Linked DNA regions of Struthio camelus. The protein of the gene in region 1 purifies or fractionates together with the protein of each later gene. This does not show direct contact. Links are inferred from orthologs where the notes say so. Each region holds a gene or a part of one and is shown on either strand. Other genes may lie near its edges. The genes, in order: PINX1 and TERT.

Region 1 (8,047 bases):
CTTGTCTCTCTGAGGTGTGGGCCATGTGTCTCTGGCTCTTGGCTAGAGGAAAACCTCACTACCTTGGTCACCAAGGCCACCTTCTTGGTCAGAAATAGTAATTAAGTTAGTTTGTTGAGACTTGCTCCCAGCAGGTCACGGAGGCTGTTCACCATCACCACGTTCGTCCTTCAGTGCCAAATACTGAACTGATTATGTAAGAACTTCCAACTTAAGTTCAGTATGGCCCAGCCATGAAATCTGACCACCCAAAAACCAGCTGTAACAGAAATAACATAACTGTGACTATTGAGCCTAATGTCTCAGTAGCGTCCAATTCTTTAACACTCCTTTATTCTTTAAAATACCTCCACACGAAACACAAGCTGCTAACTCCTTGACTTGCCTCTGTTTCTCTCCTTCCCCCTAAACCATTGCTGCTCTTTCATCTGCTACCTATCTCCTTTCTCTGTTTGGATAACAAACTGCTTAGAGCAGAACTTCAGTCTCACACCCCATAAAGCACAGGTTAATGAATATTAATAACAACAAAAATAGTAACAGTAATAAAAAAACACGTTGTGGTCGTGGATATAAGGAAAAATATCTGGTTTTTTGGCTGTTGTCTCTTTTGCCTACACTCCCTCCAGTGTTCCCTGCCAGGCATTGCACCCTACTGCTCAGTTGTTTGCTGGCAGCATTTCTAATAACATCACCCTCTTGCCTGGAGTCAGTTTCTGGTCCTCGCCTAGCCCTAGTAGCTGTTCTTTGAACCCTTTTGTCTCCTGGCTGCGGGCACTTGTTCTGACATCTTTTGCTCCATGGGTCAGATGTTGTTAATCTCTTGTTCTCTGCCTGGCGCTTGATGGGCAGCTTCTCTGCTCTGCTAATACAGCTTTATACCACAGCTCACATCTAATTCGCCTGTTCTTTTGAATCATTGTCCTATATCAAACCTGCCTTTTCGTTTTACGGTCTCTAGGCAGTCCTTGTCCCCCGTGCTTCCATCACACTTCTCCTAGGACTCGCTCAGTAAGCATTTCCAGTTTGGCCTCAGGCCATTATCACACAACAGAGGCTGATTTGCCTCACAAATGACCTGTTGCACAGCCAGGATTCACATCCTATTTCTTTACTTGCCTTTCTCGTCCTTTTTTGCCACTTTTCATCTTTTCTTTTCCCGGATGCTTCTCCTCTCCCTCCTCATATGTCCCTGGTTGATGAGGCATTTGAATGGGTCAGAAATGGGTGTTTTGATGGGTGCTGGTTCTTCTCCAGCTGAGCGAACTGCGATGTATTCAGGTCTAGACAATTCTTGCAGGCATCTAGTTAGTGTTAAGGGACCCAAACCCTGCCTGTGAGTGCCTGTTTCTCCTTCCATCAGCTCCAAAGGGGCTATAACATGTCTAATGTGAACAGCTGCTCACGGATCCCACTGCAGCGTCCTCAAGTGGCAAGTGACCAGTGTAGAGCTTTTTGTGCCATTAGCACACTGCTAGTATCTGTGGCTGCCTTTCTGCTGGACACGGGAATGGTCTGGTTTTGGGTAGAGAAAGGCACTGAGCCCAGCAATGTGAGAAGCTGTCACCTGCTGGATGCTCGCTCTGCTCCTGGGAGTAGTACAAGAGGGTACAAACCTCAAGGCACAAGGATCTGAGAGGGAAATGAGCCCACCGTGCAGACAACACGTACTCTGGTGGATCACCTTCAGTGATTTAAGATCACAGTGACGCTCACTCAAATGTGTGTAATGCTGCTATCTACTGGAGTGATAAGATATTACACCAGCACTCTCAGCTAAGAGACTTTAACTTCTGTAGAATGAAAAATGGAAGCAGGATTTGGCTCGTATGAAATGGCTCACCCAGGAAAGTGGCCATTAGAACTCTTAATGCACAGACGACACTACAATTTAACCGACGGATTACAGACCTCGGACAGACAAGTCATAGAAATGGCTATTACTGTGAAGAGGAGTACTTTGGTCAGGAAGCACAGGTACACGGATGACTGAGGTGAGGATACAACACCTTGTATTTCAGACACAGACACTAGGTAAAGGGTGGCCCTTGCTGAAAGTCCCTGAGTGGTAATGAAAGGGGAAGAGGATCCTGGTAGGTGACCTGGGAGCACGAGAAGGCAGACTGGGTGGCAAATGATTTTTGAGAATAAGCAGAATGACAAAGTGGGAGGTGACAAGAGATTTCATCTCGCCTGACTTCCACTAGCAAGGTTAGTACCTTGGAGGTACCAAGCAGGAGATTCAGCTTTAGCTATCAGAAGATTCAGCTGGGTATCGAAACTCCTCAGGTCAGCAGAGACAGATAGGCACCCGGAGTTCAGATTAGACGCCTGCATTGTATACAGTTAAGGGAGTAGATGGACCATGTTCTAGACTGTCCAAGCAGGTGTGTGGTGTATATGTTATCTTTTTAGAGCAGGAGATGAAGCAAACAGAAAGAAGGCTCTTCTAAGGGTTGATTCTGACCTCCAGGAATTTCCTCCTGGAGCAAAATTTTAAGTGAAAGTGACTTAAAGCTGCTATGGCACCCAGTACCTCTTCTTAGGGCAAGGGAGAGAAATCGCCAAATAAAAATTACAGATTTCAACTAGACCTCAGTAAGCTCCGAAAATTATTGGGTAAAGTCTCCTAGCAGCTTGGTCTATGAATTAATGGCAGCTAGCCATTCCTTTAGCTAACACTGATAAGAAACCAGCGCAAGCTGAAAGAAACAAGCAGAGTCAAGGCCAAGTCAGACAGACTGCATACAGACATATAGTATAAGGGATAGAATGAGAAAAGTCAAGGCACGGAATAAGCAATGAGACACATTTATATAACGCAGCAGTCAAAACAGGAAGACCAAGGGCAAGGCTGATCCACCAGAGAGCAGAGGGGGCATGACGTGATTCATCCATCCAGAAGACCATTTAGTCTTCACTAAAAGAATTAATAGCGATCAAGTAGCTAACAAAATTAGCAACAGAAACAAAGAACAAAAGATCTGTGTCTCAGGCAATAAAGGATTGGAAAGTATTTTATTTGTTTTCACAGCACTCAAGCCTGATGAATTTGGCCTGAAAACGCTTAGAGAATTGACAAAACCATCAGGTGAGAGTATGTACTGTGAGAACCTGTATAGGTTGGATGTGAGATTAGAAGACTATGAAAGGGCCAGTCTGATGCTCTTCTTTAAAGACGGAGCGGGAAGGGAAGAACTGGGGCAGTCAGGGCAGTCACTTTAAGAGGAACTGAAGTTAAACTATTGAAATAAATCAACAAACTATTTGTAAGGTTTTAGACTTGCCAAGAACAAATCATATTCAATATTTTCATTAATGACCTGAGTTATGGTACAGAGTACACATACCGCATTTGCAGGTGACTCCAAGCTGGGAAAGAGATAGCAAAGACACTGAAAGATAGGTCTGGAATTCAGAACAATATGAACAAAATGCAAACACAGTCTGGAAAAAATCAGTATTGATTCAGCAGGGGCAAAAGAGAGCATTAATCCACTGCACGAACGCAGAATGCAAAACCCCTAATTAAACAGAACTTCCCTGAAGGGTATCTGGAGGTTACAGAACAAAACATTATATTCCGATGAAAAATGCTTCAGACACAGAGGAAGCAGCCTACAACTCCAGTAAGTGCTCTGAAAAACTCAACAGCAACCCCCGTGTTATGTTTTGGGTGCTGTATTTCAAATAAGATGAGAAACAACTAGCAAGGGGCTAGAAAACATAAGACATGGACAATTAGAGGGCTCCAAAACATGACCTGCAAAGAAAGGCTGCTAAATAGGGGTGGTTTTGATTCAGCAAGTAAAGACCAAGGAAGCGAGTTGCTCAGTCTTCAAACGCCTAACAACTTGTTGCAGGAAGGAAAAAATAAATTGCTTCCGCATCTAAGGTGAGTAAGGCAAGAAGCAATGAGCTTATATTACAGCAAGGAAGATTTAGGCAGGGGAATCTCAGAATCTTGAAAATCATGAGAAGGTAATAAAGGCATAGTTTGCCTGAAGAGGCTTTGGAGGCTCTGCTTTGGATGTCTGTATGAACTAGGTACCACCACGAGCTGCCCTGACCACGCAACAAAGCTGAACTTGTCTTGGGACAAGACGATGAGCACGGGATGGCCAACGCAGCATTGTGAGGCCCCTTCCAGCTCTACAGCTCTTTGAGAAAGGAGCAAACTGAGCTAATCTGCACTCGCAAAAGCTTCTTCCCGCCTGAAGAACCTGGGCACTTTCTTCTGACATCTGCAGGGCTCAGAGCTGTTTGGAGGGCAGAGCCTCTCAGCAAGGCCCTGCAAGAGAACGACAGGAACGCAGAGCCTTAACAGAGCTTTAGGAGGGATGTGAAAGGTGAGCAAGGAAGACGGAGGGCAAGAGAACGGCCAAACAGCACGATTCGTCCTGCTTTTGACCCATTTTCTAGGTCATTTCCCCGCCCCCCGCGCCCCTCACGACGGGCTCTGCCTGTGGAGACGGCTGAACGCCCCAAACGGCCCCGCCGACCAACACCCCCCCCTCCCCCCGCGGTGAGGCGGCTTTAGCAGCTCCCCACCGTGCTCCGAGGCAGCCCGGGGCCGCCAGGCCGCCGCGCCGCCCGTGGGGGCCGCGAACACCCCCCTCGCCCTCACCGGCCGCGCTCCCGCGCTCCCGCCCTCCCGCCACGCGCGAGCGCTTCAGCTGCCCGCAGAAACGCCTGTCTCATATCCCCGGGGATATGCGCAGGAATAGCCGATATTCGACAGGCTACGCATTTTTTATTTAAGCTTTATCAGCCGGGAGGTAGGTTTACACCCTCCCTTTCCCCACGGGTGACGGCTGCTGCCGGCTGCTCCGCGGTTTTTCAAGCGGGCTCCGCTCCGGCCGCCTTTCTCTGCGCCCGAGAGAGGTGAAGGCCCCCGCCGGCCTCCGAGGCGGTGCCTCAGCGGCAGAGAGGGAGGGAGAGAGGCCCCCAAGATGGCGATGCTGGCGGAGCGTGAGTCGCTTCTCGGGGCTTCCCCGGGGGAGGAACCGCTTGGGGGCAGGGGAGACGCGATACCACTGCGGCGGGGGGTGATAGCGGGAAAAGGAGGGGAAGGAGCCGTTACGCCGGTGAGAGCTGCCCCGGCGGCCGCTGCTTTCTGCCGAGCCGGGCTCGGCTCTGAGGGGGTCGTGGCGGGAGCCGGGGGGTTGCGCTCCCTGGGCCGGTGCCCCCAAGCCGGGGATTTGGGGGGTCAGGGCTAAATTCCGCTTGGCAGGAGGAGAGAGCAGATTATAAAGGATTTTAGGCCGGTGCTTCAGTAAAGGTACCAGCTTGCGTGGATCTTTTACGTGTAGTAGATCCCCTGGACTCACTGGGAGAGCTCGTGTTCAAGGCGAGGCTGTTTCTTGTGAGCCTTTCGCATAAATGTGTTGCTGAATAAAGCACTTGTGAAGGTTTTCCATGTTGTTACAAGCTATCTGAGTGTTTTTTTCTTATTTATTTTTTTCCCTGATGCTGGAATGAAAGAGGGCTTCGCTCATATCTCGGAGATGCTTGAAGGCTTGGGCTCCCTATATCTTAACAGAGCTGATTAAAGCCTTGGGGTGAATATCCCAGTTGATAACTTCTCTTCGGGTAAAGTTCGTCTGTTCAAGACTAAGAACTTTCTTGGGGTTGGCCCAAAGTGGGAATGATGGTGTTTTGTTTTTTTCTAGAAACAAAAAACTTTTGGTACTTTATCTTCCAAATTCAAGAAGCGTTTCTGCAAAGTAGCTTTCTGTAGTAAGTTTAAAATTGCATGTAAATAGTTCAATTACACACACACAGTATTTCATTTTATTAGTGCAGAGTGCAAATGACACAAGAAGTTGTTCTAATAATAGTTATAAAATCTTCCATGAGTGCAGTTTTCTGTGTAACAGCTCTAGTATACTTCGGTGTGATTGCTAATGTCCTTAGGTGGTATTGGTAAGATTAACTGTTGTCAGGACACCTTGAAAATCAGGACAGAAGGTCTAATAAATTCATTTCCTTGACTGTGGGAAAGATGGACATAAGGATAATGACTAAATAGAAAATCTGATTTCCTTTGGGAAATACAGATTTGAATTGTTAAAAATAAAATTGCTTTTACATATATAATTTTCTGATTATTTCAGATGTAAACTTTGGTGGTACCATTTTTGAGAATTTTTTTTCTTTTTAGTTTGACCCTGCAATTTGACCCTGCAGTTTTCAATATTGTAATGCTACGTTAATGCTTCTGTACCTAGTGAAAAGCACCCTCCCCCCCCACCCCCCCCCCCCAAAAAAATGCTTTGGAAATCGATTATCTTAAAAACAAATCTAGCTACTGAGACCCACCTTCCCAGAATTGTATGTTTTTGTTTATCACTTGCAAGTGCAGTAAGGCTGTGTTACCCACTTGTATTTTTGTTTGCAATTCTGGATCAAGTTCAGATGCTCATATTGAGAAAGAGAAGGAGACATATGGGTGGGGCTTAATTGATTTTACTACATCTGTGAAAACACATGCATTTCACGAACCTAAAATAACAAATAAAGGGTAAACCCAAAACTTTGTGCTTATGTAGTTTAAATTTAAAAAGCATATTAATAGCAGAAACGGGCAAAAGGTTAGCTTTTATTTTTCACTTATTTTTAAATCAAAATTTTTAATAAACTTATTGTCTATCTTAGTGATTCTCATTTTGGGGGTAAAAAAAAAAACCCTGTATTGATGAGTTTACTAGGTTGAAATAAAAAAAAAAAATCCTATCTGTGAACTGTATCTTTTTCTTTTCCCGGTCATTGAAGACAAATTCCACCTGTTTATTATCGTCCGTGTTATCACCATATATAGACCCACAGCTCTGGCTTGGATGGGATCCCATAATCCCAGATGCTATAGAGATACGGGCAAAACTAGAAGATGGGATACTGTGTCAGAAGGATTTATGAATGAAAACATAGGATTTGGTCGTTTTGGAAACTGAACTGGGTTTACCAGAACTCGAGTGCCTCCTATCTTACTTTTGGAAAATTATGGTTTAATTCCTTGTCTGATGCACATATTTGTCTGGGCAGTTTAGCAGTTGACCTTTTCCAAATAGTGGGGCACCTGAGTTAAGAGCGAAGCAGAAGTATCTAAAGAAACGACACTTTTCTCCACTGGATGGTGCTACTTGCCCAGAATTTCATTAATATCTCTAGCATCGTTTTTCTAAGAGCAGCCCGGAACGTTGGTGTTAACTTCAGAGCTGAACTTTTTAACTGGAGGAGAGTAGGTTTTTAAAAGACCTCTGTGAGCAAACATCTCTGACAAATTTTAGGCTAAATACCTTTTTTATCATTTATTTGAAGAGGGTAGATGATTTTCTGATTAATATGTGTGACATGAGGTTGTTCCTGATTTTTCTTAAATACTTTTGATAGGTATAAGCAACTTTGTTTGGTTTCCTGCAGCTAGCTTACAGTATTTGAAAATAAGACTCTGTTAACATGACAGAAATGTGAGGATTAATCCCCTTGCAGTAGTTACAAGGTTTGAAGTATGTGGGTCAGAAGTGGTGGAAAGACAAAGATCTCTTAACATTTCAAACTTGAGAAATCTCGTCATTAAGTCTTGTGTTTTGTTACCAGGGTTTTGCTGGGAGTAAAACGTCTCAGGCCTTGTCTACAGAGAGAGATTCAGGAAAATTAATCAGAATTAACTTTTAAAGTGGATTAGCTGAAGTACATCAAACAATTCAAGTTAGAAGTTAATTTAAATTCACATGTTCAGTTGACATAGATTACCTCCACTGTGTAGACAAATCCTTAGATACACCCTGTACTTTACAACTGTGTGAATTGCATTGACTTTAATTTCTTGGGGTTTGCAACGTCACCACCTGGGGAGCTAGTTACAGAGAATGAAATAGTAGATGAGCGTACTGGGTATGTTGTTAAAGATAGATTAAAAAAAAATATTGAGCAAGTTGGTTTTAGTGACTCAGTGAAGGAGAGTTGTTGCGAATTGAGAGATTTTAAAGAAAGGGAGTGATTAAGAAATGTGATTGAAAAGCAAGGCTGCTGCTTAGCTGGGCTG
Region 2 (8,187 bases), on another chromosome or scaffold:
TCATCTAATTTCCTCACTATTGCCACTATTGTCCTAAGCGTTCCTTCTATACTTTTATATAACACATACCATTCACATTATAGACTGCCTGGCAGGTTTCCCATTTCTGATGTTTGAAAAAGTATATTTTTTATTAACTTCTGAAAGTTGTTCATCAGACTCTTCTGACTTCGTTTTATTAGCCTATCTTTTCCTTTTTTTTTTGATTGAATATAACTTAAGGTTTCTGAAAGGCTCCTTACCTACAGTCTCACTTCTCACGAGAGGTTCCTTTTCGGCCTATTTAAAAGGAGCTTTAGAAAGAGATATACATTTACAGTACACCTGTAAAGTTGTGTCTTTAAATAGACATTACTGAGGACTGACCTAATATAAACCCAACTGTGTTAAATCAACTACATGTGGGGACAAGTACATCTCATATGTTTCAAGCAAACTATAACATCTTATTTCCTTTCACTTCACTCTGTAGAAATGGCAATTTATTTTTATCACTGCACTATAATCATGTATTTCCAAGGTAACTTCCTTTCACAAAAGCTGGTGGTAGAGCAGGATGTGGATTCGTTCTCCCCTGAAGGATAAATTTGTTGAGGAGAACTGTGACTTAATTATTCATTCAGGTCTGGGCTCACCAGTACAAGAAGACATACAGACATACTGGAGCAAGTCCAACTAAGGGCCATGAAGATCATTAAGGGACCGGAGCATCTGACATATGAGGAGATGCTGAGGAAGCTGGGATTGTTCAGCCTTGATAAGGAAATGCTCAGGGAGACCTTGTCAAAAATGTATAAATGCCTGATGTAAAGAAGACAGATCCTAATTCTTCTCAGTGGTGTCCAGTGACAGGACAAGATGCAGTGGGCACAAATTAAAATGCAGGAAATTCCAACTAAACATAAAAATATTTTTCACTCTGAGGGTGGTCAAACACTGGAACAAGTTGCCTACAGAGGTTGTGGAGCCTCCATTCTTGGAGATATTCAAAACTCAACTGGATGAGGTCCTGAGCAACTGGCTCTAGTCGACCCTGCTTTGAGCAGGGGGGTTGGATTAGAGATCTCCAGAGGCTCTTTCCAGTGTCAGCTACAGAACAGCTGTTTCTGTTATTCTATTCTTTTCTTTATTCAGCCTCCTAAAAATCAACTTATCCCCTTTTCTATGACACTTCATTCCCCCTCTCCCTCCTGGATTCTCTCCCCAGCCTAGTGGTAGGCACACAGAAAAACAGGGTAGTGCCTATGAAAAGAAACAGGAATAAAGAGATCCCCTTAGCCTGGCCACAGCAGTCCTCTTCTCTCCTCACACCCTTGATGTGGTTGTTGCCAAGAAGGCATCAGCAAGACGCACCGGTAAGGACCTACTTTGGAACCTACCACCAGCTGGCAGAAAGGGTCCAGGAAAACGACAACTAAAAGCCCTCCTCAGAAATTCGGCCTACAGCAGCACCTGCAACCCAACTATCTGCCATGAGCATATCACCAGCTTTGGGGACATGGATGTACCACCCCCAGAGCACACAGTCAAGTAGTTACAACCTCACCTGCAACCAGCACGTCCTCAGCTTTGGGTTCATCCTCCACTATCACCAAAATCCCATTACTTCCTTGTGCATTGGTGCTAGGGTTGCACCCTCTAAGAAAGTCCCACTGGTGGAAAGACCTAGACCACTGTCCACCTCTTCAACAAGACCTACAGATCAACACCTCACAGACGGTCTCCCTCACCATCATGCCCTTGGTTTCTCCAGTATCATCCCCCTGGCTGCTGGGGAGGAATCTTTTGGTGCAGTCAGGGGTCTGGTTGCTGTTTTCAAGATTTATGACTCCTTGTCCTTGCCACCGGCCCTTGATCTGGGGATACACTCAACACCCCTTCCTGTTCCTCCTCCTCTCTTCCTGAGCATGTTCCTCAGAGGAAATGGTGACTCGCTTATCTGCCACATGCCCGCCTGCATTAGACATCATCCTTGGGTTGTACCTTGAGGGTATCATCACCTCTGGAGTATCTGGGGGTGGGGGAGAGGGGAGTACATACCCACCAGAGGTCAGATCATGGATATCAACTATACTCCTGCCTGAGTGCAGCTACTGATACAGCCATGGCCAACTTCTGTCCCCTTGCCCAAGTCTGCAGTGTCTGTGCAACCTCTCCATTACAGCATTGCTGAGGTCCTTTGAAGCCTTCTAGTATTATCACTCTCCCTCCTTTGGGGGTACCCATCTGGTGCCTATCTGCATCAGGGATGCATGGCAGTCCGTGGCATGCAGGCAGTGCTGAACAAGGAGTGACACAGAAATGCCTCAATCTAAAGGCTATAAAGGTGCTAAGAAGGAGTGGACACCTCAGCCAGGATGATGAACAGGGAAGAGCTGCTTTGCTGCCTGTAAGAGATTTAATGCTTTAGAAAGAAGGTACAGCCAGTCCTCGAAGAGCAGGGGGATGCTGACCTCACTCTGAGGTCTTTGCGGTCCTCACTGAAGGAGAGGAAGGTACACTGTCCTGTCTCAGCAGGGCCACAGTTTCTACACCCCTATCCCTGCCATTGGTGAGAACTATTTGCTGTGTAGCACCACCCGTATCAGGGGCAGCACTGTCCCTGGCCACAGGGCCACTAACTTCACCTAATGAAACACCTAATGAAACAACCTTCTCCACACTGGGAGCTGCCAGGTGAGTCCTCATAAGGGCCAGGTACTCTTCAGTCTTTGGGAAGGGGAGAACACTATCATGTTGCTGCAGGAGATTTCACAGCAATCCAGCCAGGAAGCCTAACTAGAAGACAGTCACCTCACGTCACTAATGTATCTGGTAGACTGCTGACTCTGTCCTGCCTAGACCTTTGCTCAAAGGGGCTGATTTGGGATTTGCTGAACTTGTGCCACGTGGCCTGCTACCCATCTCTGTCCATGTGGAGGGAGCAGTTGTTAATATTAACACCTACAGCCCACTGGGCCAAGAGCATAGCTTTAACAGCAGACGTGTCTTGGCAGTCAGAGTCCCAGAGTCTCTTTTGCATGGCAGGGATCGGTATGACAGAGTAGCTGGAGCAGGAGAGTCGGAGGTGAAAAGGATCTTGGCATTCTATCCCTTTGCAGCACGTTTTGAGAGAAGCGTGATGAACTCCAGCTCCTGGAAGACCGCTGGGCTCAGGGCACCTTTGGTCACATATCCAACTGCTTCAGGAGATGGATTGTGGCATGCAGCATTTAACCTTCCTCACCAAGTTATCCCTCTTCCCCTTTCCAGCCTACCTTCTCATGGCTCATATAGAAGCTGTTCCATACTTTTGGTCCCTGAGCCCTTTCTAACTCTAGTACATCTTTTCTGAGAAGTAGAGGCCAGAATCGCACAACCGCACTCAAGCTGTCGCAAACCATGGATTTATGCAATGGCATAATGATGTCCTCTTGCTGTTCTTTATTCCTTCCCCAATCATTCCTAATACTTGACTTGTTTTACTGGCTGCTGCTGCGCATAAAGCTGATTTTTTCATGGAACTGTTATAACCTCAGGGTCTCAATCCTGAGTGGTACTAATCACCCCAGAGCCCATAATTTTATATATGAAACTAAGAATGTATTTCACCTCTATGCCACACTTGACATTTATCAGCATTAAATTTCAACTGCCATGTAATTGCTCAATCATTCAGTCTTATAATGTTCTTCTGCAAGTTTATACTCTGCTTGTGTCCTTGCTGCTTTGGATAACTTCATCCAATCAGCAAATTTTGCCATTTACTGATTACTTACAATACTTCTGAGTCATTTATGAAAGTTATACAGTGCAAACTAATGTGGATCTCTGGTGGTGGCCTTCCTTATTGAAAGAACTGACCATTTATTTCTACCTTTGTTTCTTATCCATATCAGCACATTCCTTCTTTCATTTTTCTATTCATAACATTTCCTTACAAAGGCTTTTGGAAATTCAAGCAGACTATATCAACTATATTATCATAATCTTCATGTCTTCTCAAGCATCCATAGAACCCCAGGAGGTTTTTAAGGCAGAACTTCTTTTTGCAGAAGCCATGTTGACTGAGCAGCTTGTATTTCTCCCAGCATCTAGTAATTTTATGTTCTGTTATTATTTCTACTAATTTACCCCAAAAAACCATCAGGTTTACAGGCCTGTAGTTCCCCAGAACCCCATTCAAACCCTTTTTAAAAGTCTGGCATCAAATTTGCCAGCATGCAGTCTTCAGGTATCAAGGAAATGTTTGAGTAAGAACAACACTACTTACTAGTGATTTGGCTGCTTCATTCCTGAATTTGATAAGACTCCCAGGACCAGCAAGTTGGTTATGTGTTAGGATTTACTCTGCTCATCTGCACCATAACCTCTTCTACAGTTACTTAATTTCAGATAGATCGTCTACTGTGTCCCCATCCTAAAAGGGATTCTGTGATGGGAATCTTCCTCATTTCTTCCATGGGAAACTTACCTTAGTAAACCAGCAAGACTCTCTCAAAACTTTCTTCAGCACCTCTCGTGACAGTATTTCAGGCTATCCCAGGCAACCTGGAAACGCACAGCACGAATTAGCCAGATGCTACAAAGCTGTCCGAAAATAAAAGCCTAAATGCCTGGTCAAAAGTCATGCCACGAGTTTGAGGTAACTGGTGCTAGTGCTCCACCTCACAATGCACCTTTAACCATAGGCCCTTGCTTCCTGCTTTCTGCACCAACTTCTGCTACTTTGGAAACTGCACGAGTCTTTAAGGACTCTCGGTCTCACAAGGGGGAAAATGAGTGCGATAACACGAGTTTATGGCCCAGAAGGAGAGCAACCATGGCGTGAAAGCATCCCCCCATCCCGCGGGCTTGCGCCTTCCGCGCACTCGGCCCTCCTCGTGGCTCACTCTCAGCCCCAGGAGGTGCCTTGGCCCCCTCACCCCAGCCCGCCTTCCTCGGGTCACTAGACGGCGCTGGAGGAGGTGAGGAGCTGCGGGGCTGGACAGCGGCCTCCCGCCCGGCCCGGCCCGGCCCGCCGCCCATCACCTCTGCGCAGCCTCGGAGGCCGCGCGGGGGGCCTGCGGCACCTGGCCGCAGCAGCTGCGGGGTGTTTGTGCGAGCGCGGTTTTTTTTTTTTTTGCTTTTTGGGTTGGTTTTTTTTTTAGCAATAAGGTTTTTTTTTTTTTTAAAGAAGCAACAGCCCCTCACAGCTTCCTGCAGTGCTTCAGCCAGCGGCTGAAGCGTAAGCGCGACGGGGGAGGAGGTGAGGGAGGAAGGCGCGGGGCCGCCTCAGGTGGCGGCGTGCTCCATCGCCACAACATGGCGGGCGCGGGGCCGTTCGCGGCGGCGCTGGCCGCCCTGCGGGGCTGCTACGCCGAGACCGCCCCGCTGGAGACCTTCATCCAGCGGCTGCGGGACAGCGGCGCCGGCGAGGCCGAGGTGCTGCGGGCCGACGACGCCCCGTGCTACCGGACCTTCGTGGCGCAGTGCGTGGTGTGCGTCCCCCGCGGAGCCCGCTCCATCCCGCGGCCCTTCACCTTCCAGCAGGTAGGAGGGCGCGGGGAGGGGGGGTGGGAGGGGGAGGCAGCCGTTGCCCGCTTGCGCAGCGGCACCTGCGTTGCAGCCCTCCCCACCGAGCAGAAGCCGCCCGCCCGCCCGCGCGGGCAGCCTCGCCCGCACCAACGGTCAGCGCCGGCCGTTGGTGGCCGTTGCCCCCCGTCGCTGCCTGCCGCCTCGCTGGCGTGCGGCCGCGGGAGAGGGCTCCTGGGGCTGCCGCCCTCCGCGGTGCCGCGGCTCGTCATGCTTTTCCTGTCCTCCATGCGTGTGTGTGCGCAGCGGGCGGCCACGCTTGTCTCCTCGTGGCTCTGCCTCCTGGCTGCGCCTGCTCGCTTGGTCGTCTCCTTTGGTCCCCTTGCTCTTCTTCGCCTCAGAATGAAGTTTGGTTTATGGAAGTTAAATTTTTCTCTAGCCTGCGTGGGGCTTATCCCCCTTTCCCCTCCCTCTAGGGGGTGAACGGGCAAAATCTTAGTGTCTGCTGGCCCGTGGTTAGATAAGCCGAAAGATTTGTGTGTCTGGGACTCCCTGACTTTGTGCTTGGTCTGTGGGGAAGCATTTAACACCCCTTCCCCCTCCAAAATGTCTGGGGAGCAATTAGAAATGAAAAAACACCATTTTACCTCTGTTAGAGGATAGAGAAGAAGAGAGAAAGAATTATTTTCCAATCCTTTTTTAAGCAGAAAAAACTCTTCCAAGAGGAATAAGACGAGTTTCTCTTGGAGCTATTGTGCGCCTGAGCAAAGTTGTGCTACTGCACAAAACGAATGTTGCAAGCTTATGGAGTATTTTTTAAAAACGTGAGCTGAAATACTCACTAGAAGTTGTTTATTTTACATTAGCACTTGGAGGTCCCCAGAAAGGCAGTGTTAGATCCCTGCTGTGGTATGGTCTGCGCATGTGCGTAGCGTGGGGCAGAGTGACCTGAAAGCCTTGGAGTCTGGACTGCTGAGAAAGATGAGAGGAGTAGCATAGGGTGTTCCCTTGGCATGAAAACCAGGATCAAAGGAGCAGAAGTTAAAAAGACTTCCCTAAAGTCATAGTCTCTGGTTGATGATTTTATTTTTTTAATCCTGTGATATGTTTGAAAATCTTTTTTCTAATAGGGCACTGTTGCCTCATTAATATTGCTTTGAAAAGCTTTAATCTAAAGCTCAAGGCTAGAACTCTGTATGTTGCATGTCTGTTCATTTAAAGGGTATGTTGTGGCGTTTGGAAGAGTCCATAAAAAGTAATTCTCCTTTTTTCTTTCTTTCTTCAGTTATCTAGTCAGAGTGAAGTCATCACAAGAGTTATTCAGAGGCTATGTGAAAAAAGAAAGAAGAATATCCTTGCGTATGGATATTCCTTACTGGATGAAAACAGTTCTCACTTCCGAATCATGCCGTCTTCAAATATATGCAGCTACCTACCCAATACCGCAACAGAAACTCTTCGTATCAGTGGCCTATGGGAAACATTACTGAGCAGGATAGGGGATGATGTGATGATGTATTTATTAGAACACTGTGCAATCTTTATGCTGGTTCCCCCTAGTAGTTGCTATCAAGTTTGTGGGCAACCCATTTATGAACTTATTTCAAATAATGTAGAATCGTCTCCAGTGTTTGTTAAACAAAGATATTCAAAGCATAGACGTAATATCTTGTTTGACTATATGCAAAAGAGGCTTATGTTTCATAAAGAGTATCTTTCAAAATCTCACTGGTGGAAATGTAAACGAAGACTTGCAGTTCAAGTCTCCAGCAAGGGAAATCAAAAAAATAACAAAATACAAAGCTTAGGATCCAGTTTGGCATATTCGTCTAAAGATGATTTTAAAGCAAGCAAACAGATCAGAATGGTAACTGAACATCTGGAAAATCAGATTAGCCCAGGTTTATCTTCATCAGCTACAGCCCTGTCCTTGAAAAGGAAGCTTGATAGGGAACAACTTAAAATTACAGCTAAGAGAGCAAAAGTAGAGGAGGAAACACCAGAGAAAGAGGCTTGGAATCACAGTCCTGGCATAAACCAAAGTAGTTCCACGAGGTATGGAACTGAGTACATCGCATCACATTCTGTAAATCTTACTGAAGAAAAGTACGCTGCTAGAGGAAGTGACAGTGATATGCCTGGCCCTTCTTTACTTCGCAAATCTTATGATGGGAAGGAGAAAGCTGTCGCAGATGAGAGTGCGTTTCTGCAAGGAGTTCAAAGTAACAGACCTGTTAAGTCCAACATGGAAATGCAAGCAGAATCAAATAGAAAGGGCATAGAGATGCATATGTATAAATCTCAGGTGGATTCTGTACAAATGAAACCAAGGGAAGGTATTTCTTCAAAATACAGAAGGCTGGAAAGTCCCGTAGATCTTTTGGGAAAGAAATTGCCAAATACAATCTTGCGTTCTGGAGTATACATTGAGAGGAAGTCTCTTCTGTACTCTCGCTGGAGTTTCAAAGAATGTTTTCCTAAATCGTTTTTATTGAATCGCTTGAAGGGTTGTCAGGCAGGTGGAAAACGGCTTGTAGAAACTATATTCTTAAGCCAAAATCTGTTGGAGCAGAAACGCAATCAAAATCTGTCACATCACAACTGGAGAAAGAAAAGGTTGCCCAAACGCTACTGGCAGATGAGAAATATATTTCAGAAACTGGTAAAGAACCATGGAAAGTGCCCTTATTCGTT

The links.
Region 2: the proteins of PINX1 (region 1) and TERT purify together in Homo sapiens (co-immunoprecipitation; 3 studies listed by BioGRID and IntAct, with this or other methods). This does not show direct contact. The link is inferred for Struthio camelus from reciprocal best matches to the Homo sapiens genes PINX1 and TERT.

Annotation. Positions count from the first base shown.
Region 1 is NC_090944.1:10,529,674-10,537,720, reverse strand, and holds the start of PINX1 (PIN2/TERF1-interacting telomerase inhibitor 1), read left to right. Parts: upstream 1-4,860; 5' UTR 4,861-4,952; coding exon 4,953-4,971; intron 4,972-8,047. UniProt on the Homo sapiens protein: Microtubule-binding protein essential for faithful chromosome segregation. Mediates TRF1 and TERT accumulation in nucleolus and enhances TRF1 binding to telomeres. Inhibits telomerase activity. May inhibit cell proliferation and act as tumor suppressor.
Region 2 is NC_090943.1:71,164,479-71,172,665, reverse strand, and holds the start of TERT (telomerase reverse transcriptase), read left to right. Parts: upstream 1-4,926; 5' UTR 4,927-5,283; coding exon 5,284-5,511; intron 5,512-6,778; coding exon 6,779-8,187. UniProt on the Homo sapiens protein: Telomerase is a ribonucleoprotein enzyme essential for the replication of chromosome termini in most eukaryotes. Active in progenitor and cancer cells. Inactive, or very low activity, in normal somatic cells.